2 linked regions of the Callithrix jacchus genome follow. The main gene of each other region encodes a partner of the protein of the gene in region 2 in a complex. Links are inferred from orthologs where the notes say so. Each region holds a gene or a part of one and is shown on either strand. Other genes may lie near its edges.

Region 1 (3,824 bases), on a different chromosome or scaffold from region 2:
GAAAGGTTATCTGGCTAGAACCGCAGATAAGAAAGAAGACTTAGCTCAAGCTTCCCAGTCAATGACATCACAAGAGCTATGCTTCCCAAGAAGGAATGTGCATGCAAATTCCCAGGAGATGTTCTTAATGTACTTTGATACTGTAGGTCTGGGGTAGGATCCTAAGAGTCAGCTTCCAAATGAGGCTGATGCCATTGGCCTACAGACTCTACTTTGAGCAAAGAATGGTGAAGTACATAGCAGCTAAGATAGAAAAGGTAGAGAAGTAGATTAAAAAGTCTCTATTAGGCTCCTAAAGCTATTTCCACCTCCTTCTTTTCCTCTAATGTTCTTGCATTCCTCAATTTCCCTCAGTTACAATAGCCCCCATCCCATTTTTTCATATCTGCCCCCTTTCTGTTAATTGTGTCTATATATCTACAGTTTACAGATGATTAAATAAGGCAAAGAACAATTATTGAATACAAAATTTACCCAAAATCACCCACCTAATAAACACAATTTCAAACTAGAAATCCTGCCATCTTCTTACTGGACTACCTACCCCATCTCTATTCTACAGCCTGAGTTGCTCAAACAGCTGGCTTTTATACACCCCAACTCATAGAAGTCAATTAATACACTGAAACACTGCTGCTAGTTATTCCCCAATCCAACTCTTTACAAATTCTCCACTGTCTCTGAGGTATAAAATATCTGAGGCACAAAATTGAGATGATTCATAATTTAGATATTCTATCTAAATTTAACCTCCCTGGGTCTCAATTTTTCTCATGTAAAACAGTTGGCATAGACCAGAATTTTCCAAATTGTGCACCATGATCCATTAGTAGGACAAAAATCAGTTTAGAGAGTGAGGTGGGAGGAGTTAAAGTAGTTGGCCAGGATCAACTTCTCCCCTTATTATGGGATTGAGGGTAGGTGAGAAACTTCCAGGGTAAATAAGACAGGTGACTGGCTTAATCTCTGCAAACATTACCATATGAACTACAGGAAAATAAACTGATATTTACTAAGTCCTCTATGGAAAGCTTTAAGCAGGATGTCTACAGTAAAGTAGTAACTCTTAAAGAGAGAACCTGGAAATTTGTTAGAAATGCAAATTCTCAGGCCACACCCAAAACTCACTGGATCAGAAACCGGAGGTGGGGTTTAGCAATCCCTGTTTGACAAGCCCTCCACGTAATTCTAGTGCAACCTCAAATCTGAGAACCACTGCAGTAAACAATCTATAGATATATGAGGTATGACTCCCTGAAGAATCTCACATAAAACTATGAGGTATAAAATAAAGATGTTAGGCCACGTGCAGCAGCTCACACCTGCAATCCTAGCAGTTTGGGAGGCCAAGGCAGGCGGATCATGAGGTCAGGGGTTCAGGACCAGGCTGGCCAACATGGTGAAACCTCGTCTCTACTAAAAATACAAAAAAAATTAGCCGGGCATGGTGGCATGCACCTGTAATCCCAGCTACCCAGGAGGCTGAGGCAGGAGAATCACCTGAACCTGGTAGGCAGAGGTTTCAGTGAGTCAAGACTGAGCCACTGCACTCCATCATGGGTGACAGAGCAAAGCTCCCTATCAAAAATAAATAAAATAAAAGAATTTTCATAATTTAGGTGCTCCCTATGTGAGGTAACCCATAAATCTCATCTACCGACCACCTTATGTATCATTAAGGGCCAGCGGAGTATGTGTCTGATGTAGAAAGGACAGGCTAGGGAGCCATGTGACATGTCTCTTCTCTATGCTTGCTTTGCCTATGCCTCTTTATTACTTCTAGTCTTGAAATACTTAAAAAGCCTAATTCTGGGTAAGATCTCTGACTCCTGTGTGCACAATTTAACAACATAATTTGTTATGTTGGCTCAGATAATCACAATCACCATTTTTTTGAAGAATGAAAAATGACAACACAGAAACCAGAGGGCATTTCATCTGTGGAACTATGTCAAGAAACTTGTCTCAGGATTCTTTCACATATACATACATACCTACATACACACACACACACACACAAATTCACATGTATAGTGAGGCAAGAACTCAAACAGTTTTTGAGACTTTATTTATTAGAGTCAGAGTCTGTACTGTCACCCAGGCTGGAGTGGGGTGGTGATCTCCAATCACTGCAATGTCTGTCTCCTGGGTTCAAGTGATTTTCATGGCTCAGCCTCCCAAGAAGCTGGGGTTGCAGCTATGTGCCACCATGTACAGTTAATTTTTGTAGTTTTAATGGAGACGGAGTTTCACCGTGTTGGCCAGTCTGGTCTTAACTCCTGGCCTCAGGTACTATATCCGCCTTGACCTCACGAACTCCTAGGATTACAGGCGTGAACCACCACACCTGGCAGAGACTTTTATTATTTTTTTGTTTTAAGTTACAGGATCTTGCTCTGTCACACAGGCTGAGGTGCAGTGGCACCTCATAGCTTACTATAACCTCAAACTCCTAGACTCAAGCAATCCTTCCACTGCAGTCTCATGAGTAGCTAGGACTATAGGCATGCACCATTGCACCAGGCTAATTTATTTTTATTTTTATTTTTTTCATTAGAGATGGAGTCTTGTTACATCACTCTGGTTGGTCTTGAACTCCTGGCCTCGAGCAATGCTCCCACCTCAGCCTCCCAAAGCACCGAGATTACAGGTGTGAGCCACCATGCCCAGCTGAGGCTTTTTTATACAACATAGTTATGATGAGTCTAAAGATGCCAAGCAAATTAGGAGTAGGCTGTTAGTGAAATGCAACTAATATCTCAAATACATCTAAAACTCACTGTATACAGTAGCTCCTCTGGAGTGACAGGACTGGTGAAAATGGTGCGCAGGCATCGGAGACAAGCTTCAATAAACTTCAGGTCTGGGGACAGTAGTCCTATTAACAGAAACTAAATTTAGGACTAATCCTCTCAACCAGTATTTAAAGTACTGTAAACTGATTCTTATCTTTACTTGAGCAAAAAATGGCTTCCCTACATACCTTGCAATAAGGCAGGGATAATATGGCAGTCCAGTAGAGACTTGACATTGTTTTCAGTACCCATAGCAAGACTTCCCAACACCACTGCACATTCAGTTTTCAGCTCTGTGGTTGAGGTTTCTTGCTGAAGCAAGTACAACAATCTAAAAAGAAGGAACTTAATAAACAAAAAGACTAAAAAAATTTAATCAAGGCTCAATGTGACCAAAAAAGGCTGTGCAGTCCACATAATAAAAACATGATTGGTTGAGTTTATATTAATTCAATGGTCATTTGTTTATCTCATCTGCTAATTAAAGAAAGAAACATCTGGAAAAAAATCTAGAAGAGGTTTTGAAAAAAAGAACTATCATATTCTCAGGGTTTATCAAAAGTGTACATCTGAAAGTTGTCCACAAGTGGTCTCTGTAGAAACAGCATCATCAGAGTCCACATCATCTACCACTTCCTGTTGGGTCTCCAAAATATGAAGACTCTCAATCAAATGCCATGTGCTGCCAGATCTTATATTCAAACTAGAAATCTAGAAATGCTACTGCTCTGAATCTAGAGCAGAAGTGCAGTTTGTAGAGATAGAGCCTAGAGGGAATCTATAAAGCCCTTGTGCAGCTCCTCAGGTAAGGGAGTTTCTTCTTTCTTCAGTTTTCTTATTTGGAAAATGAAGAGATCCTCTCATTTCCACTCCAGCCTGGCTTGACAAACAAATATTCCCCAAACCCTAACCTTCCTCTACTTATGACCATCTACCTTACATTCTAAGGTAGGACCCTCATGCTCCCTAAAGCACTATATGCCAAACATAAATCCCCTAAGAAAGGCTGCTGACAGCTGTAGGGTTACT
Region 2 (3,824 bases):
ATGATGAAGTACTTAAAACTTTTTAAATTTCCATATATTTTTAAACTATATTTTGATTTTATATTTTCCAATATATCATCTCTGCTGTGAAAGATGATTTTTCTGCCATTCTCATACACTTTTGTGGTTCTCCATTATAAGTTGTATCAATCACACATACCATCACTTCAGTAATTTTTGTCGTGTGTGACATAACCCAGAAATTTTGATTACTCTCCAAATTTTCAAATACAGATTTTTTTAACATAGACTCCTTTCTCCAAAATCATATTTCCATTAAGATTCCATGCTAAAATTTAGGTTCTCTCTCCTTTAAGAAGAAAATGTTACACTGATGATGGCCATTTCCTGAAAATGCAGTGTAACCAACCGATTTGTTAGAGCCCAAACCAATATTAAATTAACTCAGTTCTGGATGATTTGGGCAGGGTGAATTCACAAGAATTTGCTTCTGCACAGTAGTATTCAATTCAAAAAATTTCACTTCATGAACTTTTAGGTTTCATAAATATTAAACGTGAGTATGTCAAGGGTCATAGGACACTGACTGAGATATATCTTCTTGCAAAGCTCTTTGAAATCAGATACCCTACCTGGCATAATGTTTGGTCCCCAACAAATCCTCAAAACTATCCTCACATTGTTTACTAAATGACTTAGACATCTGCTATATGTAAGCTACTTAAAGACAGGCTTTCAAAAATGATTCTTTGCAAAGTTAGTTGTTCTGAACTTAAAAAACATTCTACACATTTACACCAAAAAAACACACGGAGAGAAAAAAATTAGTTGTAAATTTATCTTATGTTACCATTCGAGGTTAAATATACTACTGTGTCTTAAGTACTGTGAAAACCTAACAAATGGCATTTATGTGATCATCTGTATTAGCTCTGTGGCTGGCAGGAAGACAATGCATGGAGTCCTGAATTTGTCCTTAAAACGTTACTAGAGGGAAAAGCGTAGTCGAGAAGAGGAAGAAACTAAGGAAAGAGCTCATTCGCATAGTAGGAGACTAAAAACCTTTGAGGAACTGACTCCTTCCCCTTTTATTTTCTGAGGGCTTAAGAACTCCCAGAGCCCCTTTGTGGGTCATGTAATTCAAGTTCTTTCAAAATTATTACAATGATTACACTTATAACTAGGTTGCTTATATTAATGCAAAAATTAGTGAAATTACTTACCTGGTGAAGTTATTAACTTGCTGTGATCTTGACATATTTATACTGTTCAGTTCTGGTACATTCAAATTGGATGACTGGTGTTTATTACTATGGCAATATGATTGATGTGCTTTATTTGATATTACACCATTACTACAGCTTTCAAAACCTGAGAAAAAGATACCACATGGAAACAGAAACAAACACTAATTTATTAATGAGGTTGTAAATAAGTCTCCACGTTCATTTTGTATTTAAGACTTCTAGAACGTAGGCAAGTCAATGGATGATGTAAATAGTAAACAGGTAATTTCTTTGAAAGGATACTAAGAATACTTAATTGGGAGATCTTAATTATTACTTCATCTAGCATTTATTGAAGGCTTAATTACAGATTTCATTTAATCCTCACAATCCCCCTAAAATGGCAATATGATCATTACCCCAACTTTACATATGAATACACTGAGGCTCAGAATTTGTCCAAGCCTGAAGTGACTGTATGATATTCAAGAGGAGTGCCTAAGAACAGACATGAGAATCATACTTGTGGTACAGAATAGAGATGTAAATAAACTGAGAGGAAGTAATGCAGAAAAGAGGATAAACTGAAGTGAGAAAAAGCAATGGTGTTACTTCATGAAAGGAAAAGCAACACTATCTGACTAGTTTAAGAATGTTAAATGTACAATGATAACATCTTGGGAAATGCAGAATTAAAGAGCTGGGTAAACAGAAGACTGCGAAGCATCACAAATAAATCTGTTGCTGGGCATGGTGGCTCACACCTATAAGCTCAGCAATTTGGCAGGCTGAGGCAGGAGGAGCACTTGAGGGCAGGAGTTTGAGACCAGCCTTAGAAACATTGCCAGACTCCTTCTCTTTAAAGAAAAAACAAAAACAAAACCACAAAACCTGTGACAAAAGTCAAGAAAGGGGAAGAGGTTTAATTAAGAGAACAGCCAAAGTCACAGACAGTAAGACTGGTGAGCCAAAAAATGGATGGGAGAAAATGAACTAGGCAGAGCTGACTTTTGCAAGAGGCTTGGTTGGGAAAGGTTGAGGGTAGGGAGGCAGGGGCAGCCCAGCTAGGTGTGGTAATCAGATATCACAGCCGGATTGCCTTTAAATTTATATTTTATTAAAACACACAATTACCTTTTCACACTATTAAATATCAATAATATAATTTCAATGACTACTCATTTTGAATGCTGACTTTCATTTATGAAGGTCTGCTAATAACCTACTCTCAGAAACAACTGTTCAAGTTACTTCCTGGTACTGAGAACATGTAAATCTGAACCTACAATTTTTCACTTTGAAAATCTTAAGTATACACATTTGCAACAGCTACAAAAGAAACATACAGATTTTAAAAAGGAAAAAGTTTCAAGATTATAAAGAGGAAAAATCTCAAAATAATGTCATTAGATAAAATCTCACCAGAAAAATGTGCAGTACTTCCTTTGCCTGATGCTAAATTGTGGATATTCATTCCATGGCTGGGGCTCATACTTGGACTACTAAAAGGTCGAGGACTAACAGGATAACTGTCTTGAGACTTTGGACTTCGGCCTCCCAAACATCGTACCTCACTATCTGTACCATTCACCATTTCTATAAACTGACGTACTCTACAGGAGAAAAGAAAAACATACTTAAGACATCATCTTCAAATGGCCTTTCGTTTACTTAATAGCAACAGATTTCTAAAATATTTTTTAAACTTTTATTTATCAGTCAGATTGGTCTTTAGATAGTAAGCTAAAAATATTAAATACAGTGTCCTATACTTTATTGGTTAGAATATTAGAATTTCCAGAAAAACAAGAGTATAATGCAATAGATATTACAATAATATTACCCCCTTTAATCAAGATTTACTAAATGGAAGTTTACCTATAAGAAGACATGAACGCCATTTTGTTTAGCTACAAGTAATTTAATCAAAATAACATTTGAACTTGGTAGTAGGTCCAATTATGCCTATGATCTTATGTATATATGATACATGTAAAATACAGCCTTTCTCCCTACCTGTCCCATTTCCAACGCCTTAACCAAAATGGTTCTTATTTAAACTTCTACTTACTCTAAAGCAAAACAATTCTGTCATTTGACTTACAAAGAATAAGTTGCTTAAAGAGTTGAAATCTGAAGCTCAATAACATCTAATTTTTAAAATAACAGATTCATAAAACCAATTAGAACTATCAAATCAGGATGGCTATTTTTTAAAAAGCAGTAAAACACAGAATTACCATATGATCCTGAAAATTCACTTCTAGGTATATAACCAAAAAAATCAAATGCAGGGACTTAGATATTTGTACACCTACACCATAGCAGAATTATTAATAATAGCCAAGAGGCAGAAGCAAACCAAGTGTCCATCAGTGGGTGAATGGATAAATAAAAAAATGCAGTATTATCCAAACAATGGAGTACAATTCAGCCTTCAATAGGAAGAAAATTGGCTAGGTGCGGTGGCTCATGCCTGTCATCTCAGCACTTTGGGAGGCCGAGGTGGGCGGATCATCTGAGGTCAGGAGTTTGAGACCAGCCTGGCCAACATGGTGAAAGCCCATCTCTATATTTAAAAAAAAAAAAAAAAAAAAAGAAGAAGAAAATTCTGATACATGCTACAATAAAGATGAA

The links.
Region 1: the proteins of RANBP9 (region 2) and ARMC8 are in contact, whole or in part, in a cryo-EM structure (PDB 7NSC), measured with the Homo sapiens proteins. The link is inferred for Callithrix jacchus from reciprocal best matches to the Homo sapiens genes RANBP9 and ARMC8. Residues at the interface, in NP_005484.2 of Homo sapiens: Tyr271, Gly298, His299, Ser300, Leu301, Gly302, Ile303, Asp337, Asp340, Tyr341, Arg343, Glu344, Thr347; in NP_001350870.1 of Homo sapiens: Gln245, Arg246, Asp247, Val277, Leu278, Lys279, Ile317, Ile320, Thr321, Asp322, His323.

The regions. Positions count from the first base shown.
Region 1 is NC_133518.1:46,106,194-46,110,017, forward strand, and holds part of ARMC8 (armadillo repeat-containing protein 8), read right to left. Parts: intron 3,127-3,824; coding exon 2,984-3,126; intron 2,879-2,983; coding exon 2,781-2,878; intron 1-2,780. UniProt on the Homo sapiens protein: Component of the CTLH E3 ubiquitin-protein ligase complex that selectively accepts ubiquitin from UBE2H and mediates ubiquitination and subsequent proteasomal degradation of the transcription factor HBP1.
Region 2 is NC_133505.1:17,034,712-17,038,535, reverse strand, and holds part of RANBP9 (ran-binding protein 9), read right to left. Parts: intron 2,801-3,824; coding exon 2,610-2,800; intron 1,333-2,609; coding exon 1,185-1,332; intron 1-1,184. UniProt on the Homo sapiens protein: May act as scaffolding protein, and as adapter protein to couple membrane receptors to intracellular signaling pathways. Acts as a mediator of cell spreading and actin cytoskeleton rearrangement.